Linked DNA regions of Oryzias latipes. Each later gene encodes a partner of the first gene's protein in a complex. Links are inferred from orthologs where the notes say so. Each region holds a gene or a part of one and is shown on either strand. Other genes may lie near its edges.

Region 1 (8,844 bases):
AAAACACGCAAAGTAATGCAGACTGAAGGAAAAAAAGTTTCTTTTATTTTCTTTACTGAAGGGATGCAACTATATGCTTTCCTCCTGGTTCGGTTCAAACCTCAGAGCTTGAGTCACCGTTTTGTTTTGGATATATGATTTGTGTATTACAAAATAACTTTTTTTAATTTGATATCAATGAAAAAAAAGTTCAGTTAGTTTTTATTCAGCCTGTCATAATGTAGAAGACAATAATAAATGCGTATGCAGAAGAGAAATATTTTTTCTCTTTCATGGCATCTGTAGTTTACTGTTAGTCATGCAGTAAAACAGAGGAAATTTAACACGTTTTAGCTTCTTTTCCTGGATGTTGTAGTCAATGAATATTGTAGTTGAGTCACATTCTTGGTAAATTTGGTCAGCTATAGTGAGATTAGGGCCCAAATCCACTTAAAAAGTCAAGCTGAGGTAAAACTGTAGCTTGACCAATGGCACACTGGGAGCAGTTTTGTTAAATGTAGAAAGCACTGGATAGGACTCCTTCTACACCAGGGGTCTCAAACTTGCGGCCCGCTGATTGTTTGCAGCCCCCAAGACGATATTTTGTGGCCCCCGCCTTAATATGAAAGTTTAATGTTAACGCGTCCCGCCCGTCTGTATGAATGACACTTTTTCAGTGTTGTGACGAACTAACCAATCACAGTGGGGTATATGACTCTTGGGGGCGTGACATTGACCGGGCTTGAAAGCAGGGTAACATTTAAGGCAGGACACCTGACAGCCCCCTCCCCGGACCACATTAAGGAGTTCCTTACTTTCCTTTTTAGAACGTATTTATTCGCTCGGGAGATGAAGTCGAATCTGCAGCGAGACTGAAGGAGAACAGGAAGTTGGCGTTGTCCTTAACGTTCAATTTTGTTTTAATATGCCTCTCCCCCTCAGTATGATCTGATTATTATGTCTTTTATATTAATCTCACTGTTTTGTAATGTATGTAGCCTTTTTTTTTAAATCAATAGGTATTTAAAATGATTTTAATTGATCACTCAACTAGAAAAACCGTCAGGACACGTTTCCCATAATGCACCATTTTGTAGTCATTTGGCGGCTTGTGGTCAGCACGGTACAAAATTTCCAGTTGCGTTCGCTTAAGTTGGGCCTTGCTCCCGCCCCTTTCTGGTGATATTTTTGTGATGACTGACAGGTGACGTTGGGGCAAAAACATGTTGCACACCAGGTGATCTGTGCAGCGTTTCGTCCACCTGGGTGATCTCAAACACGCTGATTGTGCATCTTGGCTGCACATATTTGGTGACGCCAACATAAATTTCCATCCGCTTTTGAGCTTTTCTCTGATCTCAGGTATTGGTAATGATTGTTCTGATCTCCAGTAAACAGCACCCGTTCTTTTAGGAACCACGGTTTGAATTCAGTATAAAACTATAGGAATGTTTGACCGGCTGCTCTACAATAACTTGTGACTAGGGTTTAAATGCGCTAAAAGTCATAAGAAAGAAAATCTAAAAATGGTCACTGAATTTTGTTTTACCTTTACTGATTTGTGGTTTAAAGAGTAAACTTTAAAATAAAAAAATTCAACATAGACTCAAAATTGGGAGCACATACTCTCTGACTTCTCCACCTTAAATTTCAATAAGCCAAAGTACAGTCCAGATTTACTGACGATCATCTTGGATCACACTGAGGGTCTCAGCTGTTTGGGAGGAAGTGCTGCCAAGTGTCCGGCAGTGAGAAGTAGACAGAGGAGCCGTGTACAGAAGAACCCATTGATGGACGTTACAGAACTGTAAAAAGTCTTCTTATGGGTTTAATAGTTATAATTCAACAGTGTTAACTGAAGTGTGTTAAAAAGGACATTCTAAATAAACAGAAATGTTTTATTGATTTATTTACTTATTGATTTTTTATTCACGTATTTCATTTGAATGAGAGTTTTAAAAGGACATTTTGTACAGAAAACAGTTAATAATAGAGTATAGTTAATAGTATAGTATATGTTCCATAAAAATTTGTCTCTTACACTCACAAGTTGCGTGTGTGTGAAGTTGCGGCCCTCCCATAGCTAGACCCTGCCTTCTGTGGCCCCCAGGTAAATTGAGTTTGAGACCCCTGTAGTACACAAGAAGTGTGCATGTGGCAGCAAAGACACTGCCGTGTTCAATGGCTTCTGCTACACCTTGCAAATGCGTTCAGTACCCCTAAACAGGGAAACATGTTCGTCTCCGCCTCATTTGACGGAATTGTAAACACAAGGATACTGCAGCCACAGTGGTGCATTCACTGCAACACTGCAACCCCCCCGAAGAAAAAAACACTGAGTAAAGCTGCATCTAGGGTTGTGCCGATGGACGATATCATCGTCCATCGTGATGGGTGACTGACATCCCGATGGAGAGACCACCATCGTGATGCCACGCCCCCGCCACGTTGCGCGTCGACACCATAAGCCGCGGTTACATGTACAAAATATCTTGATGGGATCAATGGTCAGATTAGAATCCAACCGTGTACATGGGCCCAGAAAAATGTTTTCAGAATATAAAAACGTTCACTAAGGTCACACTTTCCGTCGGAATAAATCATTCGCACATGCGCAGTAGGGTTTGAAAACCGGAAGGATATAAATTCCGCCGAGCGGCTTTTTTTTTTCAAACTTTATTGAATGTAACAATTCAATACAAAACAATGTTAACAGCGCCGAGCGGCTATATACATTGACATGTCAGCTCGGTAAAATACGAGATGATCTTCTAAACGTGCTTTTAATAATGTTACGGTTATTATGAAACACCTGTTCGCTCATCATTTGAATTTTAATCCGTGTGGTCAGTGCTTTTTCTGAACGAAGCCAGGATTAGCCGTATGCTAACACGGGCTAACAACATTAGCTTTGGGTGGTGCTGCTCGCTGGCTGCACGTAAACATGTAAGAATAACATCAGCCTTTATTTAGTCGGGACACGACTGGAAACACAAATCCGCGTGATTGTTTGAATGTTTTCTAAGGACTGAGCGACATTTCTGCTTTGATGCTCAAACCGCTGTGTGTGCTGACGATCCGAGCTGTGCTCAGACAAACACTTTTAGACCCGGTTCTGAGTTCGGTTGCTTGTACCCCTAGAGCTGCGGGACGGATCGCAGTCTTAAATCTCCCACACATAGCGCTCATGTAACAAAGCACCACCCCCCCCCCCCTTCCCCTCAAACACAAAGCTGTAAGTCCGCGCTCCGCCGGTCCACTTCACTAGCGAAGTGCGGGAGCGGACTACTTCTTTTCTATTTTGTTTGTTACTTTTTTTGTTAAAGTCACTTCCCTCAGTTTATACGGGATCATCGCGGATTAGTCATTAGTTGGAAAATAAAACTAAAAAAACGAATAGCAGTTATATAAGAACGAAAAATGTAAAAATACCCCCCCCCCCCCCCCCCCCGACGATGTCATCGTCCATCCCGATGGTTGACAGCAAACATCGTCAACGGCCAATTTAAGGGACATCGCCCAACCCTAGCTGCATCTAAAAAAAAAAAAACCTTCACTCCCAGGCTTCCAGGTTTAAATGTTAACATGAAGTTTGCCCTTAATGTTAAATGCATCAATAAAAAATGGGCTTTACACCTGAAGACTAATATAACTTGATCCCACCCGTACTACAAGCAGTTTAGGCCCTTTCAGAAGGTAGTGTGTCGGCACGGAAGGGAAAGGGCAATCTAACCTGTTATCATTCGCAGTACCGTGAATGTTTTGTTTTACTGTGCTCTCACTGAGTGGATGTTAGTCTGATTTCAATTGAGGAGGATGTTGATGAGGAGTCTTCAGGACTCTTGACATCATTCTGGCCCACTATTTAGACCTGTTTGCAGTTGACTGCATGGTGTGCTGTTCTTACTATAGAAATGTGTTTATTAATCTCTTCAAGGTTACCAAGTCCACAAGATCTTTACTGTGCAATCTAACCATCGGTTCTGCCTTTTTAGAATTCCATTTAGTGAACACACTGGAGATATTGTTGATTAATTTGATGCTTTCGGCCCTTCCTGTTTATTAGAAGCTACTCATTTCCCATAACAGAACAGTCTGCAGTTATCCGAAGGCTTGTAATAAATAAAGGTCCCAAGTTACAGAGATATATTTATGTTAAAGGTATTACATGGAAGAAGCACTTTTTAAAATTTATCCTTCTTCCCAAATATTATTCACTAAAGTTGGATTGGTGAACAATTATTTATTAAGCTTACATTATGAAAGTATTCCACAGTTATTTCAGATGCAAAATGTTTTCTAGATTTTATCCTGAGATTTCTTTTAAATGTAAGATAAATGACCATACCATAGGTTCGCTGTGTGAAATGTTTGTTATTCAAACAAAAAAAAACCATAATTTTTCTTTTTCTTTACTCACCAGTGACATTGACCTGGTAGTTTTCGGTAAGTGGGAGACTCTCCCGCTTTGGACGTTGGAAGAGGCTCTTCGGAAGAGAAATGTTGCGGATAAGAGCGCGATTAAGGTCTTGGATAAAGCAACGGTAAAACTGAACTCACCCAAAGACTCATATTTGTATTGATTGATTCTTAATGCATGTTTTTATTTTTAAGTATATTTTTATTAAGTTTTTAAGTGGCAGAAAGTAAATAAAGTTTGAATTTTAAAACCGGTAGTTTAATTGATTTTAGTGCTGGGATTTTCTTTTAAATATAATTTTTACCACTCATTTCATCAAATTAATGCTCTTTTATGTGAAGCAGTAATTTAGACTTTAAAATTGTAATGTAAATGAAATGCCTGTTCAAGATTTTGTTTATATTTTATGAAGTTTATTTTAATTGAGCACTTGTCAGAGTCTGTGTCAGGACTAATTCTGCTTTTTTTTTAGGTTCCCATCATTAAACTGACTGACTCTGTCACTGAAGTCAAAGTGGACATCAGCTTCAACGTGGAAAGTGGCGTCAAAGCTGCTCGGCTCATCAAGGAATTCAAAGAGGTGACCTAAAGTTTACAGAAAGAGAGCAAGAAATCTTAATGCATGACAAAAATGATTTATTAGTTTTGAAAAAAATGTAAGGCATTTAATTAAAATTAGGAATATAGACTACCATGTTTTTATTTTTGAAGTGTGTCCCTTAAACCTTTAGCTGATCCAGAGTCTTTAATCTCCCTTCATTGCAGAAGTACCCCGTGTTGCCTTACCTGGTTCTGGTGCTGAAGCAGTTTCTTCTACAAAGAGACCTTAATGAGGTTTTTACCGGGGGCATCGGCTCCTACAGTCTCTTTCTCATGGCTGTCAGCTTCCTGCAGGTTAGTTCAGCAAGCAACGCTTCGGAAGCGATGACGGTTTCCTCAGCATCAGTGTTTCATCACCAGAATGAAAATGTGTCCTGAAGCTGCTTAAAAACAAGATTTTCTGTGTTTTAAAGATTTGGTTTTTTTTCCAACCTAAAAAAAACGGCAACACCGAAAATGTCAGAATATGGCTGCAAAATATGACCCAGGGTCTTGCAGAAACACTGATTACTGTCCTGACATTAAGTCTAAATCCGTTTCTTTGTTTGTAGCTTCACTTCAGGGAGGACGTGTGCAGCCCCAACATCAACATCGGTGTGCTGCTGATTGAATTCTTCGAACTGTACGGTCGCCACTTCAACTACCTGAAAACGGGCATCCGGATAAAAGACGGCGGTTCTTATGTGGCCAAAGATGAGGTCCAGAAGAACATGATGGATGGATACAGGCCGTCTATGCTCTACATTGAGGACCCTCTGCAGCCAGGTGATACTGTTAACAACAAACACACGTTTGAAATAGGAATCTGGGTATTAAAGCAGCGTGTTTGTTGTTTCTTTGTGCCACATAGACAATGATGTCGGCAGGAGCTCCTACGGTGCCATGCAGGTGAAGCAGGCCTTTGAATACGCCTTTGTGGTGCTCCACCATGCTGTATCACAGATTGCCAAGTGCTATCCCAATAACGAAAGTGAGAGGTAAGGAGAGCGATGTTATTGTGGTCTTTGTAGAGACTAGCTGTTAGTTGACTCAAACTAAGACGTGTTTAACTCGATTCCTTCATTGTAGCATACTTGGCCGGATAATCCGGGTGACCAAGGAAGTGGACGAGTACAGGGAATGGATCCGAAATAACTGGGGCAACTCATCGCAGATTGATCTGCCTCTTAATAGTAGGTTTATACTTTTTTGAAACTTTATTTACTTTTTGTCACAGTAAAGACATCAGCTGCTTCTCTTTGTAGAAAACGATGTGAAGCTGTTGGATCCCCAGCAGCTGGATGAGCGCAACAACAACGTTCCAGACGACGAGGTGGTTGTTGTTCTGCCACTAGCTCCTCGCAGCAAAACGTTCTCCAACACGTCGTCTCCACCCCCCTCCCTGCGTTCGTCTCACTCCTCCTCCCCTCTGTCCCCGCCATCCACGTCCCCAACGTCTACCTCCAGCGATGCGGTGAGTTACCTGAGCTGCACACGGAACTCCAGGTGTGTTAAAGGGGGATTTCGTTAATAGGAAAAACGGTTTTCTCCAGGACTCTGACGGCACACCGTGTAAGACGGCCAAGCAGCAGCCCGGTCGAGGCCCTGGCACTCTCAGAGAAAAGCCGGCTGTGGCCACTAATCACCGCACACAGAATCAATCTACCATCACTCCAACCACAGGCAACAAAGGAGGAAAGGTGTGCTCAGCGTAAACCCAGTTTAATAACCATACGTGCTGGTGGTTTGATCATATATATTAAATATTATGTTTCAAATTTCCAGGCCCGGATGTCTCGTGCCCACCACAATAATGGTCACCAAGGGCAGCAGAACTCAACCAAAACCACAAATAATCCTAAAAACAAGCTGGTTCACCAGGGCAATAGCAAGAAGAGGAAAAATGTACGGGACTCCACACAAGAGGATCTCTACAGATAGGGGTTACTTTGTTCTGCAACTCCTCCAACCCCTCGATACCTTCTTCTCATAAAGGTTTTACTTCTCCCTCTGGATGTTATTGGTGGTTTCAGAACACCTGAGGACTCCGGTGACCCTTTTCAGGGTGACAAATATTGCTTTCTTACTGAGGAAAAACAAAAAAAAACCTTATTGGCAGTGGGAACCATATTTTTGGACCTAAACTGTAACTAAGAGTGAATACTCCATTGCTTCCCATCGGCTTCATTTATGGAGCCCTTTTAATTCCCGCAGCCAGGCTCCTGCACCCCCTGCTGTTCAGGACGAGGCCAGGACCAAGCACCTGGAACTGACTCTGCTCCGGAGCAAAAACCTGGAACTGCAAACCAGATCACCAATTTGATTTTCCCGCCCTCACAAAAAAAAAGAAAAAAAATGAGGAAAAAGACAAAAAAAAATATTTTAATGTACAAAAAAGGAAAAATGTCAAACACTTATACAATTTTTTTATGATGCTACTTACAAATGCAATCAGTGAGAGTGGGAATTAAGTTATGCATGATATTTTTCTTCTGTTGAATTTCTCTGTGAATCCGTTTTGTCGAGTTCTACAAAAACATTTGTACAATGCTTAAAGAAAATTGTTGCACATATGAGGAGACAAGAAAAAAAAACGATTTCATAGGACCTTTTTACGACCTCACTGGATAAAAGTCACTTAAACACACGCGACGCGTCTTATGACGGCTGCTGTTTGGACCAATCAGCAGCTGGTTCGGGTCCCCATTGCCAACAGAAATCATCAGCATTTATTTTTACTTCAGGTTCATCTGAGCGTGTTGACAGCTAGCTTTGAGTGAGGCAGAGCTCACACCACCCACCCATAGATAACAGAAATGAGCTTTGTACTCTTTAAGTAGCACAACCACATCAGTATAGAAGCTTGAAGGTCGAAACCTATTGGTGGTGGTAATGATTTTATTAAAAATCCTAAACTTGAAATGTGTTAGCAATTGGTCTGTGGGAGATAATCTGTTTATTTAGGAATTTACCAACTGCAGAATCATTTGTATTTGTTAAATGTATTTATTTTTTTATTAATTACATGGACATAGTACGGATAAATGTATTATTAATATTGTATCTCATATCTGAGTCCTATATTTTAAGATGGGATCATTTGGAGCTGAGGTTGGATAGAAAAAGATATATTCAGGAACAGGTAAAAATGATCTTTTTATTCGTTCTACTAGTTGAGTGACCAAGTTACCTTTGAAAATTGAAGAGACCATTTTATAAGCACGTGGAATCCTTTTTGCTTTACTATTAGGCAGGTCTACTTACTCAAAAAGGGATTTTTGTTCTTTTCTTGGTAGCTTTGTTGTACCTATCTTGGGTAAAAAAAACGGTCACAACAAACATCTCAAGTGTTGCAGTACAACAACTGGCCTGTAGATGGAGCCCTTGTTCCATGTTTATACGGCACGTGGCTGGTTAAGATCAGTGATTGACTGTTATTACGCTCATTTTTCCACTTAGTTGGCTTTTTTGCACACAGAAAACCTGTTAAGATTAATAAATATCAGAGGGAGCAGCACACCAAAGCACAGTTGAAATTACTCAAAAGTTACCCGCAGTTATTCAACTAGCCAGCAAAAGCAGGAAAAAAAACCCACATTTAGAGGCTGTTAAATGAGAAAATATAAGTTGGTTAAAATACCCACTCCACATTCACCAGTGTGACTGTTATGCTTGACGGATAAAATGGTAAAATGAACCCTGGCCACTTGTTTTAACCACAAAATAAGGCTTTGAACCCAGACTGTACTGATTGGAATTCCTCTGCAGCTATTCAAATTCATGCAATAAAACATTACCATCTCTCTGCGCGTCTGGACCTGTCTGCTTCTGCTCTGCCTTTGTGCTCCGACTTGTTTCGCTTCGTT
Region 2 (8,844 bases), on another chromosome or scaffold:
TTGTGTGTTAAAAAAAGCTAATAAACAAAATGAACAAAGTAAATAATATTGTTGATTTAAATGAGAAATGGCTTAATTTGCTTTAACACAAGTTTAATAAAACAGAACTTTACAAATTATTTAAAAAATCAACAATCTCTGACATATCCGTCACTTCCATCCTTTTTTTATTTTTTTATACATATTTTTTAACTGCCATGATAGTTTGAAGAAATATACAAACAATGACAAATAAAAAGTTTTTTGGCAATTTTTAGATTTCTGCTACTCTGGTCGTACTTTTTGCTACTCTTTTGAATAAAGATCCATGTTAGTGAAATAAAGATCACGTTAAAATCTTAAGGTTCTAACATGCATTTGGATGAAAACATTCTCTAATTTGCCACAGAAAAAAAAAAAAACATTCATCAAGAAGAATAGATGACCACCAGATGGCGCAGTGACAGTTTGGGTAGCAGAGGTCAGGAAAGAGACAAACAGAAACAGAGAAACGAAGAGAGAAACCAATGTCAGTGTTAAATTCAAAACCGTTTTTTTTAAAAACCCTTTTCTGTTGATTTTAAAGTCAACAAAAGAAATATAATAAACATAATCAACGTCCATGTTGCAAGGTTGCATGTTTTTGCAATCTCTTGGTATTTCTGCAACTTACAATGGCTTTCTTTCATACACAACTTGTTTGTGTGTTTGCTAATACTGTATACAATGCCATTCCATGCACTACATTTGAATAGAATGTCATCTGATGACTACTGCTCAAACATATCTAAAGGTTTGACTGGTGCACTAACTCTAAAGCTCTTCAGCATGCAGGAAAACTGCAGAACAAACACACTTTTGGTTGATTGTGCAGAGAAACTGATAATGAACATCCGGTTCAGAAAGACCGTCTGAGGCTGCTGGTGTGTTTTATCAGTGTTGTACAGCTTTAGTAGCACCGTCTGCAACATGGTGTAAGATGAGGATTTTGTTGCTCCACTACATTTGGAATTGATTTATTTCAAACAGAAAATCCTAAAGACAAACAAAAGAAATGTATCCCTATAAATAGATTTGTCAACTTTAGCTGATCATTAAGGACTTGATTGTAAAATTAATAATGTAGAAGAAAAAGAAATACACATACACATGTATGTGCATGCACATGTCCATTATGCCATTATAATGACCTTTGATCAGAAATAGACATGTTCTACTAATACATGACCCACTGAATCCATTAAATGCGAAATTTTGGTTTTCATTCTGTTGTTGTCAAAGAATCCGTTGGAATGTTTTAGCTTGTAGTTTTAGCAACACTAGCTTTAGGTTTTCTTGTGTTTAAATTACTTTCTAGCATTAAGGCAGCTCTTGTTTCTTTTGTTTTTACCTTTACTGAAAAATATCTGAATTTTTAGAACTTTTTGGGGTCATTTTGAAATCAATTCTATGGGACGGATCTTTTTCAATGAAGTATATTACGCTTTTATTTCAGTGTTTACAACTATTCTGTTTAACCGTGATTATTTAAAAAATGAATTTTAAACTTGAGGTATTTCTGTCATGTTGCCAAAAACTGGCAGCTTCTCAGCAGGAAGGTGTGACTGTAGAAACTTTTTTACTGTTAATTTAAAAAAAACAAAATTCTTCGCTAGGACACTGATCAGTGGCACTTAATTTGACAAATGAGCCTCTGAGACTCTTTTTGGCAGGGAAATGATTTGTTTTTCAGCAGACGTTGGAAAAACTCCAAGTTGAGGTGTTCTCCCCAGGCTTGACCTTGTTTATAATCCTGTGAATGGGCTCCACGAGGGCGAGACCATAAAGAGGGATAAAGGTTTCTCCATTTAATTAATATTGAAAGAGGCAGATAACTCCTTGTTCGCACATGCTTTCAGACACACATTCATGCCAGGTTCTTACACCCAGATCTCAGGTTGATGAAAGAACACGCTGGGATTTAATTTCTCCTTTTTTTCCCCTCTTCTGTGCTTCAAAATCAGCGTCTGTGTGCTGGATCAGACTGTGTGGAGATAAGGCAAGCCCAAGGTCAGGGAGGAAGAGGCAGAGGAAGACCTACAGCCAATTTACATGAAAGATGAATGGGAAGAGGGGTAGGAAGGGTGGCGATTGGGGGGCCTGAGACTGGGACTGTGATCTCCTTAGGGGTGCACATGTGTGCGTGTATGAGTGAATGTGTGCGTACGTCGGGGTGTGCGCTTGCAGGAGGTCTGTGATCTCCTGGCCTTTGTGATGGAGATGGGCCCGGCAGGCCTGACCCGATAATGACGCGGTGCTCTAATAACATTCATCCCTTCTACTGCAAAACTACTCAAGCGGAAAAGAGAAGGCGAGAAGGGGGGGGGCAAGTCTGTTGGTTTGCATCGGGGGGGTTGTACACAGCAAAGAGGGGAGGCAGGTGGGAGGAGAGGTAAGCTAAGTAATGTTTAAGAAATGACGTTGAGCACAAATCTTTTGTAATCTTGGAAACAGGCCTGAGAGGAAGGAGGAGCCACTCCAGACAGGAGTGTGAAGGTGTGTGGAGCTTTGTGCATGTGTTGTCGTGAATGCTGGTAGAAGTGCGTGCGTGCGTGTGTGTGTGTGTGAGACATTAGGAGTAAATGCTCGGTGCCTCAGTCCCTTTTCTCTCTTTATCAGTGTATATTTGCTGTGGGCACTGAAGCATGGAAGTCCTTTAGAACGCTGGCCTAAAGAGGAGTCTGTGTCCAACACACACACATGCACACACACTGTTACTTATCATAGAGGTTCATTACAGGTCTCAAATCACACCTTTGTAATCACCTCATTCTATCAACATCCATCCTTATCAATGGGGAGCATTGGAATGGCGACAGAAGCGAGGAGGGATGGAAGAATAAACCCCTTCGTTTTGTTTGATGCACATTTCTACTTTAGACTTATAAAAATGCAATTAACCCCTTTTTGTTTTTTTGTCCTTAGACTGAAAATGGCCCCCCAGTAAAGAAGCAAGCGGAAGATATGGGTCGGTCTCCTGCTTACTGCTACAACTGCTCCAAGAAGGGACACTTTGGCTACGTACGAATCTCATATGCTCACACTTTACAAGTGTTTCTTTTATGTTTTAGTCAAAAACATGATATCTGGAAGAAAGCAGGGAGTAAAATATATTAATAAATAACCTTTATACAAACAATTCTTTTTGAAAGCACAAAAATATAAATGGCTGAAAATATTGCTTCACACAGTTAAAGGGGGGAAAAAAGAGGAAAAAAACAAGCAGCAGCCTTTGTTTGTTTAACATGAACACAATATTGAAGTATATGACTTGTGCTTAAGTTAGACCATTTAAGACCCACTACAGTGAAAAATTGTGTTTTTTGGTGTTTTTAACATGTTCCTTTGGCATTTTACTGATGATGGAGGACATATGTAAAAGAGTTGAGCTTAAAATGACATTTCTGAGTATTCCATTATTCAAATTGTTGTGAATCTGGAGCAGCTGAAGAAATGCTATTGAAAAAAGCTCGTAGATGTGACGTAGAAGCTACCACGGCAAGCCACTAGCTCCCTGCTCCGCTCCATTCTGATGCAGACAAATAGAAAACAAAGACGTACAGGGATCTCTCAGATGCCATTTCGCCATTTTTGTTTCACCGGTAATGATACTTTGGGGGTGTGAGGGGCTGTAAGCCAGCCAGCAGGAGAGCGTGCTAACAGATGGATGAGGGGAAGCACCAACAGTCCCGCCCACAACTCGGAAGCGAATTTCTGATTAACTCCTGCCGCTCTGTAGAAACTATGTCCTACAAATGTACAGGTTTTTAGATTTTGGCTAAAAACAGCATAATCATTATTTTAAAAAAAACACTCGGAACACTTTTACAACAACTCAAAAGATGATCGGAGTGGGACTTTAAAAACCCAGGTATAATATTCTTCTGCTTTAGTTTTTTTGTTTGTTTTTTTCCAGGCCTGTACAAAACAGAGAATGTTTAAGGGGGTTTTTCCCACCATCCCATTCGTCAACCATTACGACACATTGAAGGAAATTAACCGCAGGCAACACAGGATAAAACTAAAAACTCAAGGTAAGTTACTAATTCCTTCCCAGGCTTTATTTATCTTTATTTAGCAATAATGCTTAAATTAACTTGTTTTTAGCTCAGATTTTTTATTGCAAGATTTTCCTCATCATTATATTGTATTTGACTGTGAGATGTTTGTCATATAAAGAAACGTCAATATATCTTTTATAAAAAAGTTACATTTCAAACTTTTGTTTTTTACATTTATACATACTTAAGACCATTTGTCATCTAAATGTATACTTGGCTTAATTAAAAGGGTGCAGGGTGTAGCCAGTACAGCCACGAAGCTCCTCAGAGAGGTCGGGGTCAGAGGACAGGCTTATAGACAGGCCATTAAGGAGCTGACCAACACAGCTGAGAGGGCAAGCCATTGGCTGTGGCTGAGGAGGAGTGACATCACCTGGACGGCAACAATGACTAAATAACAGCGGGGGACAGTGGCAGGCCTACCTCTGAAGAGGGGTACACAGCTGACAACGTGTCCTGCTGTAGAAACCTCACGGAACTCCAAAGAACCAAAACTCAGTAGTTGGAGTGGTACAATATTAGGGATTTTAACAACTAGTCCTATCAAAACAACCATAAATTAAAGATGGATACCTTTATTTCTTTTGATGGACCTAAAATTGTTCTTTTTTTTATATTCCAAAGGTAACTTAAAAATACAAAATAATAGGGTAACATGGGTAAACAGTTTGAAACATTTTGTCAAAGTAAAAGGTTTACAATTACTTTGTTACTTGGGATTTTTGAGATTTTGCTCTTTTGTTGTCGAGCTAGGACAAAAATGCTTTTTTTTATTTGCAGTGAGAATACTCGTATTCTTTGTGAAATATTCAATTTTTTCATGAAGTGATGGTTTTCTCCTTATTTCCACATGCCAAATGTAGGCTAATCGCCTTCACGAGTGTCTCTGCATCAGCAAATAGTACTAACCTCATTCTTTCTTTTTCTATTTTTATCAGAAATGCGGAAAAACAGCAGCTTCCCCAGACCTTCTCAGACTCCTTCCACCCTCACAGCACCTAAAAAGAAACCGAAAATCAACACCCAGACGAACAATACGCCTTACCAAACCCCAAAGCCAATCCACAAGTCCAATCCTAACCATATATTTTTTAAGGATGAAGAGCTCAGAGATGAAACACCCACAACAAAAAAGTTCAGGGATGGGGGTGGCAGTGCTAAACAGTGGAAGCCCAAGAGACCTGTGCCCTCCTCCAGAAACCCACTACCACCTGCTAAACCCGTTTTAGATGAAGAAGATGACTTTCCGAGAGGAGGAAGGCCAAAAAAGGATGCAGAGGAGAGAAGGAAGATGAAAAAGAAAAATAAGATGAAGCGGATTCACTCATCTCTGACAGAGGGACATCAAGGAAAGCGACGCGACTGTCCTAGGTGGACCGTGGGAGAGAACAGATGGAGGCCGCCATCAACAAAACCAAAAGCAGAGCAAAAGAAAAACGGGAAAAAATTTTCCCAGAAAAAACTGAACACACAGTACCCAACAGATGAAGACCTGTTTAGCATCAAGCAGCGCAAACGCAGCAGATAGCATCAGTGGGGTGCCCACAAGGGCCGTTTTCATCCCACACTCAGTGTTGTCACTCAGGTTTCAGCAGAAGAGCTGTAGTCAACATTAGGCTTTTAGAGCCTTTTCCCACAAATTCACACGGTGATTCATGCCTAGATCACACTAGCAGGAACAGAACTGGAAGCTTTTTGTAGTATTGAAATGCAAATAGACGTAATTTAGCTTCAGATGATGTTTTTGTCATTTTTACAGTGGAAACATTTTCTGTGAAGACAATGTGCATTAGTGGCTGGCAAAGAGAAACGTCAAACAGCTTAAGTCGACATTGTGTTCTGATGAAAAGTTTCTTAGTGGTTTGTTCTTTGTTCAAATTTAACCCATAATATTTTTTAAAACAGGTCTTGAGCTGTACGACAAAGAAACACCTTTGCTACTGTTACAAGAACAGGATAGTAAATCTTTTTAAAAAGCTTTTGGTAATGTCATTTTGATGGAAAGAAAGTCTTCTTTATCTAAATTCATTGTAAGTCATCTTAATGAGTAATTACAGAATAAATATGCATATTACTGGAGATGTTTGTGATGCTGATTAACAGTTACAAAAGGAGTTTTAGTTAGCATGTGCCACTGACAGTTGACATGATTTCTTCTTTGTATTCAAAAAATAAATTCTAAAATCTTGCGATGGAAATCAAAATAATTATTTTTAGCCGTTCCATCAGTGGGAAAACTAAAATTAGAAGCTGTGCTGGTAGACTTAAGTATTCAGGGTTTATTTAGACTAAACTTTTTGTTCTTTGTGTTATGGCTTGTGGTTTAACGTTTTTATTTTTTTATGCCGACAGCAGTAAATAAAAACAGAACTATATCCTCTTAAGTCTCTACCCCAAAGGCGGGTTAAACCAGAGAGGAGTTTCCCTGCAGAGTATGGCACGTTGTTAAAAAAGGAAGGACCAGAGAACGAGCTGGAACTCAGCTGCAGATTGTTTTTGTCGATCATTAGGTCCTCAAACATTAGAACTCCCAAATAGTTTTTAATGTTGGGTAATGGAAAATGTTTGCCATCATGACTACCTGTTTAAGCTAAAGAATCTGGCAGGTTTTTATTTTTGGTCTACCATAATATGACTGAGAAGATTAGTAAAAGTAAGTCAGTCTGCAGACTTTTAGTTTTACTCAAAGCAGAATGTAAAATACTTGAAGTGAGATAAGTTGACATGTATTTTTTAGCTTTTTTTCCCCCCTTCTCTGGACCTGTTAGTAATTCTGTTTGCAACAAAAATACTTTTTGAAGGCATTTCAAGGTAAATTAAAGAAATCTGAATTTGTCATTTTTATTTAATGACATTTAAAGAAAATGTTTACAAGCAAACTTAAACTTTTGCATATGATTATATATATTGATCGTCATTGGCATATTTTTAAAAGATCCTTCTACTAGAATATTTTTTCTAACAGCTTGATTGTTCATTTTTGTTCATGTTTTCTGTCAAAATATTAGAACATTTATCCCCTATACACGTATTTGACCACACTCATTACATGCTACATAAGATTATAGGGGTTTGATTGTTTGCTTTCAACTTAAAGAAACACTTTTTCTTTAGAAGTAAAACATGTAGTTGAAGGTCCCTGATGAGGGCACAATTGAATTATTACAGTGGTTTTTATTTTAGCTTAGCTTGGACAACATTGCGAAAACAACTGATTCTAAGTTATTAGGACAAAACAGACTTTATATTATGATAACAAATTTCGGCACCATTACTAGTTTTTGAAAAAAGTGATTTTAAAGGTTTACTGTAGATGAATTATAAACGGTTTTGGCGTACCCCACATTTTTAGACAATTTGACCTTAAGTCGAACCTTTCCTCCTCCCACATTTAAGCTGCTTCTTGCTGTGATCCCTCTTTCAATGAAGTCTAATTGTAATGAAGCTGCATTCACGTGTAACCATTTAGCAGACACATTTCTCAAAAATAGACTGGGCCACACAAGTTTAATTAAACTGAAGGAAATCGGGGGCTAAATGTCCTTTCAAAGGACACAGAAGTTTTGAACTGTGGCCTAACCGACTGACTCATCACTGTTCAATTCAGTTTGCGTTGAATTTCTTTTCCAAATAGTTTTATATGAGTTTCTTTTAATCTATTTCTTTTAAATAACAATTGAAAGACACAGGCAGAGTCCAGTAGATGGCCTTTGGTTATGCAGTTGCAGATAACTTTTTTTCATAATCATTTACTTTTTATAGATTTTGTATACTTTCACCATGTATAGCTTGTCAAAGGACATTGAAGTAGCTCACTGAGGTTGTAAATGCTAAATTAACATGCCTTTATCTACGAATTAAAGTTTTTATAAAAAATATAAATTTATCTAAATTCATCTTCCTTAGAACACAAAAAAGTCAGAGAAATGTAACACCCAGTTTTACGACAGTCCACGAACGCCGCAAGTGACGCATGCGTGTCGCAAACCTCGCGGCCTCTACAAGCAGTCATTGGTCGCAGCTGGTTGCCTGTCTGCTGTGGCTCGGAAGTGGAGTCAGGTGCCGTCATCCCCGGCTGCTGGAGAGCTGAAAAATCATTTTAGAGGAGAACTTTAAGCTTCTAAGAACTTACAGAAATAAACTGGAAATCGCCTGGAGCCGAACTAAGAAGAGACATGCAGAACGATTTGGTTCCCACCGGTGACACTAAACTGGACCAGGCTGTCCAGCTATGGTTGCAGTATGACAAGGTAACCTGACAGCTAGCCTGCAGTGCTAGCTCTCTGTTTTCACTGCTTTACACCTTACGGCGTTTACAGCAGGTCTGTAACGTCCGTTCAAACAGGGAAAATCCTCGCTGACTAGCGTTAGCTAAGCTAGCTAACAACAAAATGTTTTTTTTTAAGAAATGTGTTGCTTTGTTGTTGCAAACTCGATTTAGCTGATGAGTGTTCAACAATGTCTCGCTTTTATTTCAGTAACTACATTTTCCCCCCCGCTGAAAAGCAAACTCCGTGTCAAAATTCTAGTCTTGACAAACACACTATTGCTAGTGTATCCATTGTTATACACTTAATAAGTTATAAGTAAAGCTAAATCTTGATTTTGTTAAATATTTCTCGTGAACACAAGTCTTGTGTTAGTCAAAATGCACATCACTGACAAAATCTATGTCTAGATGATATATTTTTTATATTTCTAGTGGGGATCCTAAACGTAAATTACTTTCAAGGTTTGTTTACTAAATAAAACCCAACTAATGGCT

What was found.
Region 2: papd5 (region 1) and zcchc7 share a complex: the UniProt entries of both Homo sapiens proteins name them as parts of the nucleolar TRAMP-like complex. The link is inferred for Oryzias latipes from reciprocal best matches to the Homo sapiens genes TENT4B and ZCCHC7.

Annotation. Positions count from the first base shown.
Region 1 is NC_019861.2:30,427,638-30,436,481, reverse strand, and holds the end of papd5 (non-canonical poly(A) RNA polymerase PAPD5), read left to right. Parts: intron 1-4,402; coding exon 4,403-4,523; intron 4,524-4,871; coding exon 4,872-4,979; intron 4,980-5,164; coding exon 5,165-5,293; intron 5,294-5,550; coding exon 5,551-5,764; intron 5,765-5,849; coding exon 5,850-5,976; intron 5,977-6,067; coding exon 6,068-6,171; intron 6,172-6,243; coding exon 6,244-6,452; intron 6,453-6,531; coding exon 6,532-6,678; intron 6,679-6,763; coding exon 6,764-6,919; 3' UTR 6,920-8,781; downstream 8,782-8,844. UniProt on the Homo sapiens protein: Terminal nucleotidyltransferase that catalyzes preferentially the transfer of ATP and GTP on RNA 3' poly(A) tail creating a heterogeneous 3' poly(A) tail leading to mRNAs stabilization by protecting mRNAs from active deadenylation.
Region 2 is NC_019859.2:12,834,229-12,843,072, forward strand, and holds the end of zcchc7 (zinc finger CCHC domain-containing protein 7), read left to right. Parts: intron 1-2,943; coding exon 2,944-3,039; intron 3,040-3,934; coding exon 3,935-4,052; intron 4,053-5,017; coding exon 5,018-5,607; 3' UTR 5,608-6,268; downstream 6,269-8,844. Other genes in the region: pgm2 (phosphoglucomutase-2), read left to right, coding at 8,255-8,329.